Linked DNA regions of Macaca mulatta. The protein of the gene in region 1 interacts with the protein of each later gene in a pairwise test. Links are inferred from orthologs where the notes say so. Each region holds a gene or a part of one and is shown on either strand. Other genes may lie near its edges.

Region 1 (12,420 bases):
AGAGTATTCTCTGCCATTCACTGGGGCCTGTGGCACCTGCTTTGCACACATCTCTTTAACCCTCACCACTACTGCACCTTGGGAGTAAGCATTCGGGTCCCTGGTCACCCCGCCCCACCCGAGCAGAAGGAGGCCTCTGCACAGGGTCTCTTGGTTCGCCCCGAGGCTGACCTGGTGGTCTGCGTCTTTCTCCTTCCTGCCGACTCACTCATACCGCTGGCTCTCTCGGGGCCCTCCTACTCTTCCAGGCATCTTCAAAATTGAGGACTCAGCCCAGGTGGCCCGGCTGTGGGGCATCCGCAAGAATCGTCCCGCCATGAACTATGACAAGCTAAGCCGCTCCATCCGCCAGTATTACAAGAAGGGCATCATCCGGAAGCCAGACATCTCCCAGCGCCTCGTCTACCAGTTCGTGCACCCCATCTGAGTGCCCGGCCCAGGGCCTAAAACCCGCCCTCCGGGGCCTCCCTCCTGCCTGTCCTGCCTCAGCCAGGCCCTGAGCTGGGGGAAAATGGGCAGTCTGCTCTGCTGCTCTGACCTTCCAGAGCCCAAGGTCAGGGAGAGGCGGCCCGCTGCTCTCAGGGGGAGATGGGCCTTCTGGGGCCTTCGGGACCCCAGGGCAGGGGTGCTTCCTCCTCAGGCCCAGCTGCTCCCCTGGAGGACAGAGGGAGCCAGGACTGCTCCCCAACAAAGGACCCCTCTACCTGCCTCTGACCCCAGCATTTCCAGAGCAGAGCCTACAGAAGGGCAGTGACTCAGCGAAGGCCACAGGCAGCCCAGGGCTCTCTCTGCTCCATCCCCCTGCCTCCCAATCCGCACCACGCCTGGCATGGTGCAGGGAGACGTCTGCACCCCTGAGTTAGGGAGCCAGGAGTGCCCCCGGGAATGGATAATAAAGATACTAGAGAACTGACATGTCCCCAGTGTCTGCGCAGTGAATGGCACAGCCCCGAGGTCATCAATGGTCAAGTGTGGTTGTGGTCACAGGGCCTGGAGTAGTCAAGGGAGGCTTTCTGGAGGAGGCGGCTTTGGGCTGAGCCTAAAGGGAAAGGGATAATTGACTGGTAGATGCTTCTGGGAGAGAGATAGTGAGGCTTCAAAGTCAAGGAGGGGCTAGAACAGCCACCTTATCTTCCCTATCCCTGTTCGGGCTGAGAGGCGGGTGGTAAGGCTGGTGTTAAAGAGGTTCTTCATGCAGGACCCGAATGGGGAAGGTATCTTTCGCATCCTTTTGCTCTGTTGCAGAGCAGGGCTTTGCAGCTAACAGGGTGGAAGAGAGGTTGGTTGGCTCCCGTTTCTGTTTCCTGAAGGCCTCAGCAGTACCGTCTGTGAAGATGTGAGCTCCTGTGAGTGGGTGTGAGACCCCCGTGCGTGATGGAAGAGGGTGTGCATTGATGTCTGTGGGCATGCTGGGGGTGACCAGGACCCGCCACCCACTCTCCCGGGCAAAGCAACTCATCCAGCTTCCTCCCACTTCCCTCACATTTATCACCCGGCTCAGTGTCCTTATGGTCTACTGTGTGCCAGGTGCTTTGTCATTTATCTTCCCAACAAAACTATGAAGTAGGGGCTACTCCCCCATTTTGCAGATGATGAAACCGAGGCTCAGAGTGCTGCAGTGACTTGCTGATGGTCACACAGCTGATTGACAGAGTAACTCATACCTGTCTTTCCACAAGAACAGGGCTCTCTCTGCCCCTCCAGCCCTCCGGCTTCCTGACTGGTTAGCACCCTTGGTCCTCTTTCACCCTTATCCTCTGAGGCCTGGCTTCCAGGAAACAGCAGGGGAGCCAGCACCACCCAGACCACCAAGGGTTAATTGCTACCCTGTACTGCTGCCTTCCGCCCTCAGCAATTTTGTTGTCCAGAAGAAAGTTTGCTCCTAGCAGTGAGCAAATAGCACCTTGGCATCTGTCAGCTGGGCTTGCACTGCAGGGAGGAGGGGGCCCTGCCCCAGGCCTGTGCCTCGCTGGGCCCCTGCTGTCTCTCACTCCCTTGGAGGGAGGAGTGCCAGGGGGAGCCTGGGACCCTGGCCAGAACCAGGCTCTGCTGAACTGGTTTTGTCTCCAGCCAGCCTGGCCTGCTCCTGACTGAGTCCCTGGAGCCACTTGCTTGTATGTCCCCAGCTGGGCCTGGGCCTGGAAAGGCCTCAGATCTCAGTCAGGGTTTGGACAAGAGGATAGGTATGGGCAGTGGATGCTAGGAGTACAAAGGTGGAGCAGCTCTGGAAAGGGTAGATGTGGGGGCCCGGGTGAGGCAGCTCCCTGCCCATGAACCTTGGCAGGCACATGCCCATCCAGTGACACCTTGTGAGCCGGCAGCGATCTGCAGATTCCTCTCCCTCCTCCAAACACCTCCCCAGCAGAACCCCACCTGGCTGGGGATTCTCTGACCCTTCTCCATGGGGGCCCCACCCTCAGGGCCCCTCATCACTAAATGGAACAGCCTGTGCAGGTAAGACAATACAACAACCTTTTGTCTTTATTTGAAGATTTCTCTGTTTGGCTAAAACCGGGCTTCACATGGAGGTAGGTTTGGAGGAGTAAGGAAGATGGGGTGGCTGATAGATTCAATCTCCATCTCAACCTTTTTCCCTGCCTGGCACACCCTGAGGCTGGGGCACGGGGTGTCAGGGAGGGGCTGGGGTATATTTGCCCTGAGTAATGGGCTTGTGTGATGGCCCTGCCAGGCTGCCAGGGCCAGAGGACCCTGAGAGAGACATCTCACCCGACTGGGGAAGCTGAGACCCGGGTGAGGGTGGGAACACAGTGAGCTGATGGCAGAACTGGGACTGGCCCTTGGACTCCTGCGCTGCCCCAGAAGAGATCCCCAGAGGCTGGGGTGCAGGGGGAGTCAGGGAGCCGGAGCAAGAGCTGGGCCTGGGGCTGGAAGAACAGCCGAGAACCCAGAGCTCTGGTCCTGCCTATGCCCCTGAGAAATTCTCCCCAAGGAGCCCTCCCACGGGTCCCACACAGAAATGCCTTCAGAGCCAGGTTGGGTGCAGGAAGGTGTGGCACGGCCCAATGTCACCACACAGGGAGCTTGGCACTGAAGTTGTGGACAACCAGGAACCATGGGCCTCAGCGGTCACTTTTAGAATTCTGCTTTAAAAAGCAAAACCTATTTGAGAGCTTCATTCACTCTTAATCCATGAGTGTGGAAACCTGAACGCCCCAGCTCTCCTGGTCAGGGCCTGTCACCAGGCACCCGGAACCTGAATGGGCCAGAGCTCCAGGAGCCTCCAGTATCACCCTCCCCAGTCCAGACAAGACCCAGGCCCCTGCAGGATGAAGGGACCAGGCCTCAGTGGCCCAGTCTATGGATGGTCGGCCAGGACAGCACCCAGCCCTGCTCAGGCACCACCCCTGCCCTCCTGCATCCCAACCACAAACAGCTCTCAGAGGGCTCAGAAACCCCCAGGACTGAAGAAGGCGCACAAGACTCAACATGACAATGCGCAGCCAGGTTGACACAGTTCTGGATTTTATCCACAGTCATACAATCACAACTGATATATATATATATTTGTATTTATATACCTTTAAATTACACAATCATGTACAAAACAGGTGCATTGCTGAGACCACAGCACTTCTCGGAGTTTCACAAGTGTCGGAACTAATGGGGTCAGGAAGCCTAGGGCGGCAGACGGCGGGTGGTGGGGCAGCCCCGGTTCCTTACAGAACCAGGCCGCAGAATGGTGGTTAACTCGGGACAAAACACATTACTCGCCAAGCCCCGCCAGGGCGGGCCCGTGCAGCATCGAGGATGCGGGCAGGGGCTACAGGAGGAGGCCGTGGGCATGGCAAGGGGCGCGGCACCCACCCTGGGTGTTGAGTGCCCTGACACCAGCACTGGCAGGTAGGGTTGGGCCCTGGAGCTCAAGGGGACTTCCAGGTAGGAGACCCTCCTGCTCTGGAGCCCTGAGGAGCCTGGGGACTGAGAGAGTGGTCCCAAACAGGGCCCTGGAGGTGGCTGCTCAGGATGGAGGGGGTTTCGAGTCCCTGTCCTGGAGTGGGCAGCTGGAGTGCTAAGAGGGACAGGGTGGAGTCCAGCTGGGGCTGCAGCCCCTCCGCAGGTGCTGGGAAGCTGCTGGCACAGAGAGGGGGAGCCCAGGCCCCAAGATGCAGATCGCCAGCTTCCCACCTTTCCAAGGTAAGTGATGAGGGACAGACGCCCCTACCCCAGCTCCTGCCTGGGGAAAGGCTGGACTTCTGCGCTGGAGCTGGGAGGACTGCAGGCTTCCAAAAGCTTGCTTCAGGCGCTGAGGAGCCCAGGACACATCTCAGGCTTCCAAAAGCTTGCTTCAGGCGCTGAGGAGCCCAGGACACATCTCAGGCTTCCAAAAGCTTGCTTCAGGCGCTGAGGAGCCCAGGACACATCTCAGGCTTCCAAAAGCTTGCTTCAGGCGCTGAGGAGCCCAGGACACATCTCAGGCTTCCAAAAGCTTGCTTCAGGCGCTGAGGAGCCCAGGACACATCTCAGGCTTCCAAAAGCTTGCTTCAGGCTCTGAGGAGCCCAGGACACATCTCAGGCTTCCAAAAGCTTGCTTCAGGCTCTGAGGAGCCCAGGACACATCTCAGGCTTCCAAAAGCTTGCTTCAGGCTCTGAGGAGCCCAGGACACATCTCAGGCTTCCAAAAGCTTGCTTCAGGCTCTGAGGAGCCCAGGACACATCTCAGGCTTCCAAAAGCTTGCTTCAGGCGCTGAGGAGCCCAGGACACATCTCAGGCTTCCAAAAGCTTGCTTCAGGCGCTGAGGAGCCCAGGACACATCTCAGGCTTCCAAAAGTTTGCTTCAGGTGCTGAGGAGGCTCATCTTGGCTTCAGGCTCATCTCAGGCTGCAGCCAAGGCCCAGAGACCAGACAGTGATAAGGAAGGGGGTGCTGGCAGCAGGAAGGAGGTCTGCCTGTCCCTGGGATGCCATTGCCCCTGGCCCTGAGGGAGGCCTGCCCCAGCTCAGGCCCCTGCCAGAGTGTCAGGACCCTCCGTGCCCACACGGAGAAGGTCAGAACCTTGAGGCTGGGCTCTACTACCTCCTAACAGTGGGCTGTTGGGAGAAGCAGCAAGAGCAAAGGAGGACTGAGGGGGAACAGGGCTGGGCTGGCTCTCTCTCTTTACCTGGAGGCCCAGGAGGCCAGGTGTGCAGGAGGAAGGAGGGCATCTGCGGTCCAGAGGCCTAGAAGTGGCATCCACCGTAAGCAAGTCTCACCTGGTGCTGCAGGACTTCTCAGCTCCTTGCTCCAGAGGTCCCCAAGAGACTTTTCTTCCAGCTCCCCTCCCTCATGGGGTTTTGTCCAACCCTGGTCTGCTTCCCAAGCCCCCGTACCCTCTCGTGCGGGAGAGGCTGGTACCTAGCACTCCGGCACTACTGCTCACCAACCAGCAGCTGGGCCCTTTGCTTCCACCCACCCCCGAAGGTCCTTTCACTCTGACCCAGGCTTGGAGAGATGGAAGGGCTGCCAGCAGGGGGAATGTTGTTCCGGGGACTGTGGGGACAAGGAAGAAATACATGATGTGACTATCTTCCTCTTGAGGGCCAGGGTTCCTCCTTTCTGCCAAACTCAGCTGCAGGTTCTCCCCTGATGTCTCAGGCTGGAGGCACCCAAGGGGCCCTTGCAGGCTCCCCAGGCAGGTCAGAGAAGAGGAGAGATGGTTAGGCCAAGAGCTTTGCAGGTACAAGGCTTGGCCTCATGGAGGCTGATGTGGAACCCAGTGATTTTATGGTTTTTGGATGGACATGGGGGGAGCGTGGGGGGCCAGGGGGACAAGATGACCTCCTCCCCAGCAAATAGGAGGAGGCTGCTACTGTTGCTGGCTTTGCCATCAGTTTGGGGGTCCCCACCCTAGGCCAGGGGACTTATGAGAAGGGACAGGTCCTCTGCAAGTTGCTGAGGGGGTTTGGATCTGCTGAAGAGCCGATGCTCAAAGTGCTGATGGCTGGAAAGAAGGGCCTGGGTAACAGGGTCTTGGTCCCTCAGATGGGCCTGGGGCTGGGAGGGCTGGCACAACCCGGGCTGAGAGCCTGCATGCCCTTCATTCACCCTCCTGTACCCCAGTGACACCATGACTTCCTCCAGCTCACCCCTCTTTCATGTCTGGGGGACCCCTGGGAACCTCCAGCGGGGAGGAGGGTGACTGTTCCTCCTCCAGTCCCACTGGGCCCAAGGGACGCAGCTAGGAGTAGAGGATGCTCCCCAGGGTAGAGTGGAAGACTAAAGATGGGGAAGCCTCCCTCCCTGGGGTCTGGAGAGGAGGCCTTTGAGGGCAGGGTGGTGGAGGAAGGGAAGCAGGGCAGGGGAGGAAGAAAAGGTTAGGAAACCAGGCCAGGGAATGGGGCAGGTGCCGGCAGCCTGGAGTGGAGTGGGACAGAAGGAGTGAGGCAGGGTGGAAGGGTCAGGAGACATCTCTCAGGGCTCAGGAGTCTCTTTGGTGGAACCTAAAGAGCAGATGTTGTGATGTTGGGCTAAGTCCTAAGCCTGTTACCTACCCTGGGACCATCATCCCAAGCCCCAGCACCGCAGCCTCCAGGTGGCCCTGCAAATGCTCTGTCTCTGTATACTTTGTTTTGTTCTGTTTTGACTTTTAAAAAAATAAAAGCTTGATCGGAAAATATGTCTGGAACTCTATGGCGAGGGGAAGGAGACGAGAGTGGGAGGGGAGGGGAGGCAGTGGGGAGGAGTGAGGGGAGTATGGAGGGAGGGCCTCTAGATAGCCTCCACGTAGTTGGCAGGGTAGAGGCCCAGCTGCCCGCTGTCCAGCCGCCCACGGCACCAGCCCTGTTCATCCTCCTCGCCCAGCTTCGTGAGTTCGTCTCCTAGGGAAAAGAACACGGGGCGGGGCGGGGGGGAGGGCTCAGAGAGAAGGCTGCCCCTCCCTCAACACACCAGTTGCAAAGGGAGCCCTCCAATACCCCCTCCCGGTTACTGCACTGGGTCTTAGATTCTTAGGCCCTGCCCCTGGAGACCAGCCCCAGTTCCATGCCAACATTCACATGCCACCCTTGGCATAGGGGTCCTGGCCTACTTCAGCCACTCACCTAATCTGGGTGTCGGGTCCGCCCCCAAAATCAGACCTCGCATCCACCCTATTCTCAGGTTCTGACTCCGCCCCTGGCACCAACCAATCTAAATCTTGCTCCCACTCCCATCCTGGGCCCAGGTCACGCCCACAACCCAGGCCACGCCCCATTTAGTTCCCTGCAAATCCTCGTAACCCGTCTTCAAATCCTGTCTCTGCCCCACCGCATACCCAGTCCAGGCCCAAGCCTCTCTTTCAGGCACCGCCCCTGCCCCACCACACACCCAATCCAGGCCCAAGCCTCGCTCAGGCACTGTCCCGCCCAGCCGCCCTACCGGCCTTAAAGCTGAGCTCATCCTGCTCCTGGCCGTCATAGTCGTAGAGTGCCCGCACGCGCACTCCCTTGGAGTCGTCCTCAAAGGGGTTGGCACCCCCGTTGGCCTCACTGCCCCCAAAGGGGTTTCCACTCTCGTCGTCTGACCACTCGGTGGCGTAGGGTTGGCCTCTGTCGTAGCTGCTAACACTGAGACGCGGAGGGAGGACCCAGCTTCAATGTCTCCCCGCACCACACCCCGAGGGCTAACCACTCCTAATCAGAGCTCTGACCCTGAATTCTACCAAGTCTAGAGCAAGGATTAGCCACATAGGAGGGGTGACCCTCATGAGCTCTTTAAACAGATGTTTAAATGCAGGGCCATTTGCATTATTATTCAGCCCAAGAGGGAGAGGGCATTTAAGGGGACCCCAGGGCAAGTCTGAGTCTTCATCCGGGAGGAGGAGTACCACCTAATGATTAAGAGCAAGGATCCTGGAGTCAGACCTCCTGGGCATCATATCTGGCTCTGAGGTTTATTAACTAGCAATGTGACCTTGGGCAAGTCACTTAACCTCTCTGGGTTTCAGTTTCTCCATCTGTAAAACGGGAATATTTACGCACTTGAACCGCGCCACACACAGCAGGTGCTCTAGAAGGATCCGCTACCACTATCTTTTAGAGAGGAGGCTTGGTTCCTATTATCTAGACCAGGGATCCCTAATCCTGGGGCTGCAGACAGTCCGTGGCCTGTTAGGAACCAGGCAGCGCAGCAGGAGGTGAGTGACAGGCAAGGGAGCATTATCGCCCGAGTTCCACCTCCTGTTAGATCAGCCGCGCCGTTAGATTCTCGTAAGAGCGCAAACCCCTATCGTGAACTGCACATTCGAGGGATCCAGGTTGCACGTTCCTTATGATAATCTAATGCCTGATGATCTGAGGTGGAACAGTTTCATCCCAAAACCACCCCGCTCCCATCGGTGGAAAAATTGTCTTCCACAAAACTGGTCCCTGGTCCCAAAAAGATTGGGGACCGCTGCTTTAGAGTGATGAACTACCACTCTCCTTTAGAGAGGAGACATAGTTGCTATGATCTAGATCATTTCTTGTCTTCTGAAGCACAACTCAGCTGCCCCAGAGTGTGGGTCCCTCTTGGCCCCAGGAAGCTCCACAGGAGGCACTCACCTGCCTCGGTCCCCAGCCTGGGATGTGGACTCTACTGCCCCAGTGGCATTGGTCAGCGCCACTCCCTCTGCCTTCTTGGACTGTTTCTCCTTCTTGGTGGTGGTGTGAGGGAGGTCTGGGTTCCACTCCTGGTGGGGCCAGTGGAGCAGTCAGGCTGGGGGACTATGCCCTGAGGCACCTTTCAGCCTCTTCAGGCTCCCCTTCCCATCCCCACATATCCTCACCTCAAACTGGGGCCAGTTCATGGGCATGCCGGGGCCACTGGTGCTGCGGAACCATCTGAGGTCTTCCTGGGCGTCAGCCCCCCGGATGGCCTGCTCCAGCTCACGATACACATGGATGTAGCTGTGCTCAGGGAAATGGGGGAGGTGGAGGGCACAGATTCACCATGGCCCCTTCTCATCCTTGGTGAGGGGCCGGAGTCCACTCAGGGAAGCAGGGTGCTGGGCATGCTGCCCAGCCAGGAATCATGTGGGCTTTGCAAGAAGCAGCTCCGGGCATGCTCAGTGAACTCCCTTCTCCCTCCCACCTTAGCCATTCACCCATCACCCTGCATGTATTTCTAGAGTACGCAGTGTGCGTCATCTTGCACCCAACAGCCGCTGTGTTTGAAGCCTCATCCCTCTTGACCCCTGCAGCTCTGCCTCCCCTTCCCGTCACTATGATGTAGGGCTGGGATGCCCTGCATGCCAGTCACACCAACTGCTGGCTGTGCCTGTGCCCTCGGTGCTTGCCATGCCCAGGTACCTGCTGTTCTCAGCCAGGTTGAGGTGCCGTTTGATATCCAGCAGCACCTCCTTGAGGAAGACCAGCCGCTTTTCCTCGAATTGCTGGCACTGCTCAAACACCTGCTCCATGTTCTCCATGTACTGGGGTGTGGTCTTGCCCACGTCTTCCAGCACTTTCTCGTACTTCTCCTGTGTCTGTGGGCACCAGAATGGAGAGAGGGTGACACCTAACCAGGCCTGCAGCTCCCAGCCACCATCCTTTGCAAGGGGACCCCCAGACCCCCTGCTGCCATCCCGGCCCGGCCAGCACCTTCTGCACATCCTGCTGCCATCCCCGCCCGCCAGCACCTTCTGCACATCCTGCTTGCACTTGTCCACTTTGTCCTGCAGCTTCTTTTGTTGCTCAGGTGTGACCGATTGCTCTGTCTTGCTGTTCATCTCCCGTGTCATGGCCAGCTTCTCCTCTTTGCAAGCCAAATGGTAGGCCTTCTTGGCTGCCTCCAGCTGTGGGAGGGGGGAATAGGGAGTAGGGTTTTCATCTGTGACCAGCAGCAAACATGGTCATCCATCAACTCCTCCCCTGCCCACTCCCTGGGAGCTGTGAGCCCACACTCTTTTTTTTTTTTTTTTTTTGAGACAGAGTCTCGCTCTGTCGCCCAAGCTGGAGTGCAGTGGCCGGATCTCAGCTCACTGCAGCTCCGCCTTCCGGGTTCCCGCCATTCTCCTGCCTCAGCCTCCCGAGTAGCTGGGACTACAGGCGCCTGCCACCTCGCCCGGCTAGTTTTTTGTATTTTTTAGTAGAGATGGGGTTTCACCGTGTTAGCCAGGATGGTCTCGATCTCCTGACCTCGTGATCCACCCATCTCGGCCTCCCAAAGTGCTGGGATTACAGGCTTGAGCCACCGCGCCCGGCCGAGCCCACACTCTTAAGAGCCAGAAAGGATGCAAGCCCTGGCTCCAGATGTTCAGGAGCAGCACTCCTCCATTTGTGGCTTTGTCTCTGCTTAGCACTGCCTGCTCCCCTGCAGATACCCTCCTGTCAGACAGTGCAGTGCCCACCCCATCTGGGGAGCCAGGGGCCAATGTGCCCGTCTGCGCTGCTGGTATCTTTCCTGGGGACAGTGCCCTCTTGCCCATGGGTTTCCTTACCCAGTGGGCACTGCCCACCCATCTGTGAATATTTCTTCCTGGAAGGCAGTGCTGCTCCCCTGTGGGCACAATCCCGGAGGGCAGTGCCCAGCCCACCCATCCATAGATGCCCTCCTTGGGATCAGCACCCTCTGATCAGACGGGCCCACCCCACCCCACCCGTGGCAGCACCCACTGAGCACCTCTTTCATCTTCTTGGCCCAAGGCTTCTGGGCCTTGCGGAAGCCATCTTCAGCCTCCTTTGTCTCCTTGAAGCCACCCATGATCTGCTTGTGATAGGCGTCCTTCTGCCAGTTCTTCACCTTCTCCAGGTCCTCATTCAGCAGGTTGTTCTTCACCTCCTGGTGCAGCTCGCTCACCTTGTCTGCCTCCGTCATTATGGCACCCCAGGCCCGCTCCAGGCTGCCATACTGTGGGCCTGAGGGAGTGGCAATAGGTCACAGGAACCTCACTGCCCCCTGCCCAGAGGCCCCCCTCACACCTCCCTTCTCTGAGGCTTTCCCCTTCCTGCCATAGCAACAGAAATGCCCTCCTCTGCTCTACATGGCCCCATCCTCTAGGGCCCACATCAACCACTATCTCCAGGAAGCCTTCCCTGACTGCTCTACCCAACTGCCACGGCCTGCAGCCCTTGCTGCATTCTTCTCACAGTATCTGCAGCTGTACCTCCCTCCTCTTTATCTCTCCCGTCAACGTGTGAGCCCCACAGAGTGGGGTCAGAGGGGGGCAGCCTGGACCCTGTGAGTTCTGACAAGCCCAGCACAGCGCCAAGCACACAGTAGGTGCTCTAGGAATGTTAGCTGAAGCTTGTGACAGATGCCAGGAGGCCACTGGGGACCAGTCATTCCACATTGACTTGTTGTTTGTGTACTGGCACCAGCTCTGTGCAGGGCACTGTGCTAGGTGGTGCAGGCCCAGCCCCTGCTCTCATGGGGTTTAGAGTATACTGCAAGAGAATAACACGAACAAGTATATGTAAACCGCAACTTGAAACTGTTCTAGATTAAAGGAACCTGAAGACACGATGCATAGAGGCAATGTGCGACTGCGCTAGATCCTGGACTAGCAAGCACAATTGTTATGGTAAATCTGTGTATGAGTTGTATTCATGTCCCAAATTTGGTAGTTGAACTCTGGTTACATAAGCAAATGCTCTTGTTCTTAGGAGATAATGAAGAATTTAGGGGTAAACGGATAATGACTCCAGCTTACTCTCAAAAGGTTCGGAACATATGCGTATCAATAAACAGTCGGTGAGAAAACAAACGTGGGGCCAGTGAGTCTGGGGGAAGGGTGTGTAGGAATTCTCTGTGCTACTGTTGCAGCTTTCACACAAAGTTTGAATTATTTCAAGATAAAAAGTGTTTTGCTTTTTTTTTAATCCAACCTAAAGTTGTACAAAATACAGATGAACAGGTAAGCCTGGTTTGATCTAGGAGGGAACAGAGCCTGAAAAGGTCCTATGGCTGGTAGATGCAGGGCATGGTGCATGCAAGTATCCAGGGCTCCCAGGACCCAGACCGAGGGGGCGGGTGATGGCCTGGGGGCGCGCAGGATGTGAGCCTGGGGGAGCACCTTTCTCGATGAGCTGGCGCCAACGCTTAGCCCAGTCCGTGAGCTGCTGCCCGTAGGCCTTCTCGATCTTGGCGCGCTCCTGCACGCAGTTCATCAGGTCGTTGCATAGACGGTGGCCGTCATCGATGCGCTTCACGGTCCGCTTGTAGTTCCCCACCTGGCGGCCAAGCAGCGAGCACCACTCCCGCGGGTTCCTAGCGTCCCCTGCCCCGCCCGCCGCAACCAGCACGGCCACGCCCACTGTCTCCCGCCCCGCCGTCCCGCCCACGGCCTCCGGTCCCGCCCCCGCCCCCAGCCCCGCTGCCCAGCCGCAACGCAGCAGGGAAACTGACTTTCGGAGGCTCCAGCACCCTGCGTCAGGCCCCACCGTCTACACGCACCCTCACCCCAATTTAAACATGATTTCCTCGCTGCCACAAAATGCAGAAGGATTTTTAGAATTTGGACTTGG
Region 2 (11,706 bases), on another chromosome or scaffold:
ACCTTGATAGAAGTTCAGTTAACAAGTCTTTAAATCAAAACAATTTTTCACTTGTATTGCTCTCTAAAACCAAAAATGTGTATTGCCATCAAAAAGGTTTTGTTTCTTCAGCCTGGGGAATGTAGCAAGACCCCATCTCTACAAAAAATGAAAATGTTAGCTCAGCATGGTGGCATGCACCTGTAGTCCCAGCTACTTGGGAGGATGAGGTGGGAGAATCGCTGGAGCCCAGGAGCCCAAGACTGCAGTGAGCTAGGATCACGCCACTGCTCTCCAGCCTGGTTGACAGAGCAAGACCCTGTGTCCAAAAACAAACAAACAATCAAAAATGCTTGTTTTTTTGCAAATGCATAATGCTGGCCATAGAGCAATAAAAACCTGGCAGTTTCTATTGAAATATGCCACCAAAAAAAGATAATCTTTAAAAATCAGTATAGTTTTCTTGTAGAAATCACCCTTCAGATGGGCATGTTACAAAGTAAATTGTTCTCATGAATTATTTCTTGTATAATTTTGGAGAGCCTGTGTCTATTAAAGTGAAGTGCTTCTTTTTCATTAATTGCAATTAAATTATATCTTTGGGTATGGCAGTACTTTACCTCCATTTTCTTACATTTGAACAAAATGCTAAGCCAATTTAAATACAGACATGAGCATTATAAAATAAACCATTTTTTAAAGTGGATGTTTCACCTTACTGTTCAAAATTTTGAAAAGAAAATGTTGTTGATTCTACCTCGTTATAAATGTGTGAAGAATATGGGGAATCTCATTAAGGCTTAAGTCACACTTCTTTACATTAGCTTTTCATTAACTTAGTAATGGTAAGCATACTTTGGATTTACATATTACTCCATACGGAAGACCATCCCATTAAAAATTTTTTTCAGTTAGATCTTCCAGTACAGACAATCATGGCTTTTGAAAGGCTTTATCTTTGATGATTCTATTCATTGTATTATTCAATAAATAATTGTTTTTACATCGTCTTTCCTTTCATCATTTGCTGCTTCTTACCTGATAGCTACATTGAGTTGCTACCTGCAAATTACTTCTAGCTTCACACAGTTCTTCCCAATAACCCCATGTGCCCCTGAATGAACTTAAAGCACCATAGGAAAACAATGCCTGTGTCTTAAATTTCATACAGATGCATAACATAACTGGCAGTAACTCCTCCTTACCAATTTAATAACATGTAGGAACGAATAAGATAATTTTCTTAGAAAGACCTCTTTTTTCACCCCACACAAACAGGTAAAAAACAGTAGGTAGTTGACCAGGGCAGAAGAGATTAAGCTTTGGGAAAAGTCCTTTATAAAGCGTAAACCTTGCTTACAAGAAACCTAGTTTGTTTTTAATTTTTTTTTTTAGTGTAATTAGTGTATATAAAATGAATTGCTACCTGAAGCAAAACACCAGCAGGAGTTTCCCCACAAGGAAGCTAATCATTTCCCCGGGTCTGTAAAAAGTGCTGAATAAAAAAAGGCATTTTCCTGTGACATCTGATCTTAACCAATATGTCAGTGTTTTTAGATAATTTGGGAATGTTTAGAATACTGCCTGTGGTGCTTTCCCTGATGGCCTGCTATTGATGCCTGTCAGTCAAGTTGTCAAGACACATGAAAAGGAAAATGACTTCAATTTTCCTAAAACTTGTAAAATAACAAACAAGCCTATACATGCACACCAACTGAGTCATTCTCTCTAGTAAATATTTTGAGGTACCTATATTGTGAAGCCTAGTGCTGTGAAAATTGAAGAGGTTTTAATATCACAATTTATTTTTCATTTTCTTTCTTACTTGTTCCTTAATGTTTGTTAAACTACAAGAATATGAGACAAAGATTAAATTCAAACGTAGAAATTAAAGATTAACAAGTAAGTGCAGAAGACTGATTCCTTCTGAATTGTTACATAGTTTCCTAACATGTCTTTTAAGAAAAAATTTGAATTATGATCCTAGGTTCCTAAAAAGAGTAAACATTTTACGTCTCAGAGCAAGAATATATCTAGAGGGTTCTTTCTTTCTCTGAGAGTATATCTAAACCTTTAGCCATACTTTTAATGCTTCCTAGCAACACAATGCTGTTTTCAAGGGTTAGTTCAGGATAGTAATAATTAATTGTAAATTGAGAAACAGCTTTGATTATTCAAAACTAGAAAAACCTGATGTGCCATAGTCATTTAAAGGCTAACAAAAATAATACAATGCAGCCTTACATTCTCAACTAGGTTGTAGTACTCAGAACATTTCATTCTTTCCAAAACGAATGAATTAAAATGAAGTCACTCTTTTCATTATGAAAATCAGTCTTAATTGAGCATTTAAAAAATGTTTCTGTTTCTACACTTAAATTGCATTTATTTGTATTTTATATCAGGTAATCTAGTAGTTAGTTCTTTTGACTTATCTAGCTGTGCTTTTCTTCACAAATCACTGCAATTACATGACCGTGGAAAAGAGAGGTTGATAGAAATGATAAAGCTCAATATGGATTAGTCTAATGTTTCTTTATACTTTCATTCCTTATCTTAAAAGTCCATTCTCAGAGTTTTAAAAAATTTAACTCTCATTTTTGCTTATTTCCTTTATTGGAAAAAATATTTTAATTCTTATTTATTACACTTTTTTCTCTTGCCTCTCCCCCCACTTTTACACATGTCTGACTTTTGGAAATTTGTTATTTTCATGTGACATAATGTCGATAACATGTACCCTCCAATAACAACAACAACAACAATTAAAAATGTGCTCTTTTTAAAATGTATGAATTATGTGAACTGTTCAACATATCTTTTGTTTTTCCTTCCTTTGAAGGCATACGATGGATTTGCCAGCATAGGAATTTCCCGATTATTGGAACCTTCTGATATGGTATTATTAGCAATTCCTGATAAACTGACTGTTATGACTTATCTCTATCAAATAAGGGCACATTTCAGTGGCCAAGAGCTAAATGTTGTTCAGATAGAGGAAAACAGCAGTAAAAGCACATATAAAGTTGGAAACTACGAAACAGATACAAACAGTTCTGTTGATCAAGAAAAATTCTATGCAGAGCTTAGTGATCTGAAGCGGGAGCCTGAACTACAACAGCCCATCAGCGGAGCAGTAGACTTCTTATCACAGGATGACTCTGTATTCGTTAATGATAGTGGGGTTGGAGAGTCAGAAAGTGAGCGTCAAACTCCTGATGATCACCTTAGTCCAAGCACAGCCTCCCCTTACTGTCGCAGGACTAAAAGTGACACAGAACCCCAGAAGTCTCAGCAGAGCTCTGGAAGGACTTCAGGATCTGATGACCCTGGAATATGTTCCAATACAGATTCAACCCAAGCACAGGTTTTGTTAGGCAAAAAGAGACTATTGAAAGCTGAGACTTTAGAATTGAGTGACTTATATGTTAGTGATAAGAAGAAGGATATGTCTCCACCCTTTATTTGTGAGGAGACAGATGAACAAAAGCTTCAAACTCTAGACATCAGTAGTAACTTGGAGAAAGAAAAATTAGAGAATTCCAGATCCTTAGAATGCAGATCAGATCCAGAATCGCCTATCAAAAAAACGAGTTTATCTCCTACTTCTAAACTTGGATACTCATATAGTAGAGATCTAGACCTTGCAAAGAAAAAACATGCTTCCCTGAGGCAGACGGAGTCTGATCCAGATGCTGATAGAACCACTTTAAATCATGCAGATCATTCATCAAAAATAGTCCAGGTAAGTGAATTAGAATGCTGAATACTATATTTAGTAATTATTCTCTGTTTTTGTTTCTTTTTGCATTCATAGATGTTGCAAATGATTAAAGGTGAAGTGTAATGTCTATTGTAAAAATTCCTGAGGCATCCAGTAGTGTGCGCCAAAGTCCCCACTATTTGGGAGGCTGAGGAAAGAGGATTGCTTTGGCCTAGGAATTTGAAACCAGCCTGGGTAACATAGCAAGTCCCTGTCTCAAGAAAAGAAAAACCTGAAATATACCTGCTTTATATTTAAGATTTATGATATAATATTTTAAGCCTACAAATCCCAATTTCAACATTGAAGGATATTGTGTAATAAGACTATGAAAAAAAAGTTGAAGGATAAAGAATGTCAACTTTTCAAATAAAAATATTACTTATAAAAACGATATTCTACTATAAAATAAGTCAAAGTTGTTTCAATATTCCATTTAATAAGAACATCATTATAAAAATGTATAATGCCAAAGTAAATATTTCGCATTTTAAGCATTTTCCTTAGATATTTTAATTGGTTTATTTAGTCCCATCATTATTTGTGGTTAAATATCCCAGCAGCATCCAAATTTCTCCTCATGAAGGGAATATTGTACAGTTTTAACCTTTCTCTTACTGATGATATTAATAATTTACTGTTTTTACTTGTATCTCTGGTACAGTCAGTTATAAGATATACTATTATTTTATGTACTACAACAAAAAAGAACAACATTGTCAATAAAATTATGATACGTGGTTTTCCTATCACTCAGAATTTTTATATCTATTGAAAGAGCTCTTTTAGACTTATTTAGGCATAATTTGATCATATTAACACTCTTACATATACCTAAGGAGGAAATTTTAGGCAAAATAAATTGATTAAGGTATTCCTAAAAGTTTTTCACATTTAGAATCCAACTCTTCTGAATCACTTTTTGATTTAGAGTTGTTGGTATTCCTTTTTTTTTTTTTTTTTTTTCTGCACAGTTATCGTCTGTGCTATCAAAAGCATTGTTACAGTACATGGTTCTCAAAGCCAGATTTGGGGGCCTCTGAAGTTCTCCGAGTCCCTCTCAGAGAACACCCGAAGTTAAAGCTATTTTCATAATAATACTAGGGCATCGTTTGCCTTCATGACACTCATTCTCTCACAAGAGTATAATGGCATTTTCTGAAAGTTACATGATTTGTGATATCTCAACAGATCGAATATAAAAGTAGATATAGGAATTCAGCTGCTTTTATATTGAGATTTATAAAATATGTAAAATAATGCCATCCTTCTCAATTTTTGTTTTTTAAGTAATTATTTTCTATTAAAATGTGTTAACATCTAATGAGTTAATTGTGGCTACTTCTAAATGAAAAAAGTAAGTATTTTAAAATTGTATCAGTTTTAATATCAAAAATGACAAATGTCAATAGATATAATCTATATAAGCAAGAGTTTTTTGGGATCCTCAGTAATTTTTAAGAATATATGGGGATTTTGAGACCAAAAAATTGGAGAACCTCTGATTTTTTTTTTTTTTTGAAACAGAGTTTTGCTCTTGTTGCCCAAGCTGGAGTGCAATGGCACCATCTTGGCTCACTGCAACCTCTGCCTCCCAGGTTCAAGCAATTCTCCTGCCTCAGCCTCCCGAGAAGCTGGGATTACAGGCATGCGCCACCACACCCGGCTACTTTCGTATTTTTAGTAGAGACGGGGTTTCTCCATGTTGGTCAGGCTGGTCTCAAACTCCTGACCTCAAGTGATCCACCCACCTCGGCCTCCCAAAGTGCTGAGATTACAGGTGTGAGCCACCATGTCCGGCCTGAACCTCTGAATTCATAGCATTTCTCCACAACTGTCTCTGGGATTTTCTTCCAGGTCAGTATACTCATTGATAACAGCACTGTCTTGGCTTTACCAGAAGGTCTCAACAGAAGATTTTTAGACAGTAATCTGGAGTTATGTTTCTTTCTCACATAGTCCTCAAGTGGTGTTGACTGAAACATCAAGGAATTGTCATCATGCCAACAGAAATATCAAACAATATATATATAGATAGACAACCATGTCTTGACTGCCACCTGAATGACAGAGAGTGTAAGATTCTGCCATTTATAAGGTTTCAGAGGTGTCAAGAAAGAATTTACATATTAGAATTAAAGAAGTATAGTAGCTGTCAAAGCAAGCCCCTGTTCTCCTAATCATAAACCTCAAATCAAAAGTCCTAAGTAGCTAAATCTCTCTGAAAGCTTTCAGGACAGCATAATGTCCACGCAGAGTAGATAATCAATAAACATCTAGTGAATGACAATTACAAGAACTTGATGACCCTAACTTGTAATATTCAATACAGATTTTTATTTTGTTTTTTTGCGGGGCGATGGAGTCTTGCCCTGTCACCCAGGCTAGAGTGCAGTGGTGTGATCTTACCTCACTACAACCTTCGCCTCCTGGGTTCAAGTGATTCTCCTGCCTCAACCTCCCGAGTAGCTGAGACTACAGGTGTGTACCACCATGCCCAGTTAATTTTTGTATTTTTAGTAGAGATGGGATTTCACCACGTTGGCTAGGCTGGTCTCGAACTCCTGACCTCAGGTAATCCTGCTTCACTCTCCCAAAGTGCTGGGATTACAGACGTGAGCCACCGCACCTGGCCAAATTTTTCTTAAAAACCAGATTTTTAAGGCAAATATGTTTAGTTAAAACTAGAAATTGATTGATATTTAAAATGTTAAAATACCCTGGACTGGGAATCAGTAAGCCTGGATTCTTGTTTTGGCTCTCCCAATAAATTAGTAATGACATGTTAACTAGCTATTTAGCCTCTCTCAATCTTATTTTCCATGTATGTTAAATGAAGTAATCTTTAAGAACCCCTTTAGCTGTGAAACTATCATTCTGTGATTCTATTCAGATGATTAAAGTGTACTGGATGATAGAAGCAACGTCTATTCATAGCTCCATATATGTTTTCTCTTTGGCCATTGACTTACTCAGAATTTTGCTTAGGGTAAGTTTAAAGATTTTTATTGACACTGTATTGGCAAAAGTAATGTCTAACAATAAACACTGTAATATAGGTGCTGACATTTGGTAGGCTTTTAAAATTGTATATAGCAACTGAATTTTGGACAATTAAAAATCTGTTTCTCTTTTGTACACAGTATTTCAATTCTCAGATACACATCTTCTTACATTTTAACTTCTCAATCAATGTTATTTATAATAGATAGTATATTAGAGTTTAATTGACAACGTTTGTTCTTAGTAGTTCATAAAATAATAGTAATTCTTACAATTAAAACCATTGGATTAGAGGAAATTTAGTAACTTTAATATGACTTTGTATACTTAACAAAGTCATAATGTTGTCCATTTGGGTGCCTAATACATGTGATGACAGTTATCTATCTTACACATATCTCTTAAACTTTACAACCCATAAGGTAAGTAGTCAAATTCTATATTATATGTGGGAAATCTGGGGTTTGCAGAGTTACTTAAGGTTATATGATAAATGTTAAAGTTTGAATTAAAAAGCAACCTTGTCTTCAAAGTCTGTGCTTCTCCACTTGATGCATATAACATCTTATCGTAATAGCATTAAAAAATAATTTTAGCCCAAATATAATGTGGTCAACATTACTGAAGGGCAATTTAACAATGTGCATCAAATTCCTTAAAAATCTTTATCTCATTAGATCCTACTTTCAGGAATTTTTCCTAAGGAAATAATTAGAATTGTATAATATAGCTGGGCGCTGTGGCACATGCCTGTAATCCCAGCACTTTGGGAGGCCAAGGCAGGCGGATCACCTGAGGTCAGTTCGAGACCAGCCTGACTAACATGGAGAAACCCCGTCTCTACTAAAAATACAAAAGTAGCTGGGGTGGTGGCACATGCCTGTAATCCTAGCTACTTGGGAGGCTGAGGCAGGAGAATTGCTTGAACCCGGGAGGCGGAGGTTGTGGTGAGCCGAGCTGGCGCCGTTGTACTCCGGCCTGGGCAACAAGAGCAAAACTCCATCTCAGAAAAAAAAAAAAAAAAAAAGAGAGAATTGTATAATAAAAATGTACCTCTAAAGATATTCATAAAAGCATTATTTATGATAGTAAAAAATTGTGTGCAACCTAAATGTTCAGCAAAATAAGACAAATTAACTAACGTATGATGTGTCTATACAATGTAATGTTAGGTAGCCAATTAAAAATCATGTTTTAGGCTGGGCATGGTGGCTTACCTGTAATCCCAGTACTTTGGGAGGTTGAAGTGAGAGGATTGCTTGAGCCTGAGAGGTCAAGGCTGCAGTAAGCCGTGATTGTGCCATTGGACTCCAGCCTGGGTGACAGAGCGAGGCCCTGTCTCAAAAAAGTAAAATAATAAAATAATTTTAAAATTATGTTTAAAAAAATATTTAAGACCATAAGAAAATGCTCAAAATACAATAAGTGAAGGGGGAAAAAAAAAAAAAGCATGATTCTACAGTTATTATCTCTGGGTACCAGGACTACTACTAATTTTTATTTATCGTCTTTTTAACTTGTATTTATTTTCTGAAATCTCTGTAGTGAATTGCATTTCTAGCCAGGAAAATTTTTTTTAAAATTGTGTTTATGTGCTCTTAAACACAATTAGTGATTTTATAGTCTTCTGGTGATTTGATTTTGTTCTTAAGACCAAAACATTTTTTCACTGTCTTTGTAGCTGGTTGGAATCACCAAAAGACTATAAAATCACAGAATTCGGAGCTAGTGGAATCTTAAAGATGATCCCTCATTTCAAAGATTAAGAAATCGAGGGATTAAAACAAATACTTAACGTTTATTCAGTGTTTGTCATGCGCCAGTGCTCAGTACATTATGCTATTATTTAATCTTTGCCCTGTCCTTCTGAGAGTTGGTCTATTTCTATCCTTATTTTATAAATGAGGAAACTGAGGCTTAGATAAATTAACGTGCCCATAATTAAGTGGTGGAACTGATATTTGAACCCAGGTCTATCTGACTCCACATCATGTAATGGAATGCAGTACGTTTTTAACTGACCTGCTCAATGTTACATTGCTTATTATTAGTGGAAGAGGGATTAACAGCCTGATGTCTTGACTGAAAATTCAGTGTTCATTTAATTAATTTTGTCTGTTTTTGAGACACTGTTGATATTGTAACTAAATTCTATTGTGTCCTATTCAACATGAACTTAGACTTATCATTATCACTTATACATTTTATTTGTATCTATTAAGAATTTTTGTTTAATCCTCTTAAAAATCTTGGGTGATGAAAATGTCCTGGAATTAGGTAGTGGTGATAGTTCATAACCTTATGAAATACTAAAAAGCACTGAATTGTACATTTTAAGAAAAATCTTTTCTTCTTTAAGATTATAGAAAAAAAGCTTTAAAAATAGTTACAGTAAAATATAAAGACCACAAAGAAACCCAAAATGCTGAACTAATCTTTAAAAAGATGGTTTCACATAATATGAAATAAAGTAATAGCTATACTTATTTTATTTTCCTTGACAATGATACTTATGATTGAACCAAAACTATGCAATGAGAGGGAAGTAAAAGAAATTAAGTGTCAGATAATAGTAATAGACATCTAAAGCCAGAAGTTGGTTACTTAGTAGAAAAAAAAGGAATTTGGACTATAAGGAGTATGAATATTTGTGCTTTTGGTTAATGTATTTAAGAACTGATCTCTGTTGATGGATGATATCTGTTGTTCTCCAAAATTATATTGTAAAATTACAGATTAATCCAGGAGAATACTTTTTCAGTTATAATATTTTCAGCTGTTTTGTTATAAGGATAGTGAGCAATGGAGAAGACTAGTTTTACTTTTTTTTAATGAAATATAATAACTTTGAATTTTCTCTAAACATTCTTAAGAATTTAAAGGATTATTGCCACAGATATTTAATATTTATCAATGTTCAAATTTGAGAGACATGTTGTTACCAATTCTTTAAGACTGAAAATAAAACTCTGAACTTTAAAAAATGTCTTTGTCAGATTATACTGTGTTTATGAGCAAATAGAATATATAGAATATATATTAGCCTTATACCTAACGAGAATATGTTCTAATAAAATTATAATTAAATTTAATCCAGTTTTAGACAGTAAAGATGTATTTCCCTCATATCAAGATTTATATATTCATTCCATGGTTTCTAGTCAACATTAACATTCTCTATAGGTAATCTCATGAAGCTACAATCTTATTCATAATCTCTATTATTTCAGCAGATTGTCTAACCTTTCATTAGTTTACAAATGTAGATTACCAGTTCTTTTTTTGGCTTCTAATTCTGTATCTTTGCTTTTAAGCATCGAATGTTATCTAGACAAGAAGAACTTAAGGAAAGAGCAAGAGTTCTGCTTGAGCAAGCAAGAAGAGATGCAGCCCTAAAGGCGGGGAATAAGCACAGTACCAACGCAGCCACCCCATTCTGCAACAGGCAGCTAAGTGATGTGAGGAGCATTGGTTTAAAAAGACCATAAGTTGTTCATTGTAATCATGGGGAGGAGGGAAGTAATTTGCTTGTATTTTTGCTATGTTATTTTTCTACAGACTGTACATTGTAAATACTTAGTGCGCTTACTGAACTGATAAAGATAAATTCATACTTGTAGGACCATTTGATCATTATTCCTACAAAGCAGTGTTAGTGATGAGGAAAAGTAAGATCTGGGAATATAATTTCCACATATACATGAATAATCTGTTTTTTGTTTTTATAAACAAAAAACAGTTTTATAACTGTAGTTGTACTCTAAGATTGTATTTTGTCAATGGAGGTTAATTTTATTGGAAATGTTAGAATATAATAATGATGTCTATTATTACTGAATACCTACTAAGTATTTCAGGAGCAATAATTTTTATTTTACTTAGCACCATGGAGACTGAGGCCAATAGGCAAGGTAACTTGTACAAAGTCACAGAATCAGTAAACGGTGAATCCAGGATTTGAACCTGAGCCTTATTAGATTCCAAAGTCAGGCCACTTTCCTATCATATACTGCCATCTTTTTATTAAACCACATTTTTGTACATATTTTTGTGTAGTGCTTCACAGATAATAATGAACGTATAATAATAGAAGCCCTTAAAATTTAGGAGGACACAAACATCTTCATGAATCAGAAAACTGACAGTCTCACCATAGCACCATCATGTGTTAGTAGTTGTTTTTCCCAGAAAGGGCAGCTCTGTGCCATATAGCTAGGTAGCTACATGCCAGGTTGGTCACCTTGTTGCATTTGTTTCACGTTTACCCAAAGAAGTACCCTATTGCTTATGAGACTGTGCTTTGAACAGTCCCAAGATATTTTCCCACACTTCCTCTTTCAAGTTATCTATTGTTGCATTAAAAACCACTGCAGGGCTAGGCACGGTGACTCACGCCCATACCCAACACTTTGAGAGGCTGAGGTGGGAGGATCACTTGAGTCCAGGAGTTTGAGACCAGCCTAGGCAATAGTGACACCCCATCTCTACTTACAGAAACACACACACACACACACACACACACACACACACACACACAGAGACACACACTGCAAAACTTACTGGCAAAAAACAACCATCTGATTAGGTTAATAGATTCTGTGAGTTAAGAATTCAGATAGGACACAGAGGTAGTGGCTTGTTTATGTTCCATGACGTCTGGGGCTGGCTTTCAGCTAATAAGACCTCTGCCAGACTGTCAGTTGGAACACCTACATGTGGCCTCTCCATATGGTCTCTTTACTTCTCTAGTGTGGGCTTTCTCATAGCATGGTGGCTGACTTCCAAGAACAAGTGTCCCAGTGGAATAAGCCATAAATATGTGGCATTCTTATGATCTAGCTTTTCTTTATAACAAAATCACTCTAAGTTTATTGTAAGAAAGGAAAATTAGTGGGAAATTTCAGTTATGAACATAGATGTAAAAATCCTATAGAAAATATTAACAAATTCAACCCAGAAGT

What was found.
Region 2: the proteins of PACSIN1 (region 1) and EHBP1 interact in a two-hybrid assay, tested with the Homo sapiens proteins (2 studies listed by BioGRID and IntAct). The link is inferred for Macaca mulatta from reciprocal best matches to the Homo sapiens genes PACSIN1 and EHBP1.

What each region holds. Positions count from the first base shown.
Region 1 is NC_133409.1:147,739,925-147,752,344, forward strand, and holds the end of PACSIN1 (protein kinase C and casein kinase substrate in neurons protein 1), read right to left. Parts: intron 12,127-12,420; coding exon 11,970-12,126; intron 10,813-11,969; coding exon 10,577-10,812; intron 9,750-10,576; coding exon 9,594-9,749; intron 9,441-9,593; coding exon 9,265-9,440; intron 8,863-9,264; coding exon 8,742-8,862; intron 8,646-8,741; coding exon 8,518-8,645; intron 7,543-8,517; coding exon 7,355-7,542; intron 6,817-7,354; coding exon 6,707-6,816; 3' UTR 3,467-6,706; downstream 1-3,466. Other genes in the region: SPDEF (SAM pointed domain-containing Ets transcription factor), read left to right, coding at 249-427. UniProt on the Homo sapiens protein: Plays a role in the reorganization of the microtubule cytoskeleton via its interaction with MAPT; this decreases microtubule stability and inhibits MAPT-induced microtubule polymerization.
Region 2 is NC_133418.1:61,807,720-61,819,425, reverse strand, and holds part of EHBP1 (EH domain-binding protein 1), read left to right. Parts: intron 1-2,821; coding exon 2,822-3,724; intron 3,725-10,059; coding exon 10,060-10,203; intron 10,204-11,706. UniProt on the Homo sapiens protein: May play a role in actin reorganization. Links clathrin-mediated endocytosis to the actin cytoskeleton. May act as Rab effector protein and play a role in vesicle trafficking.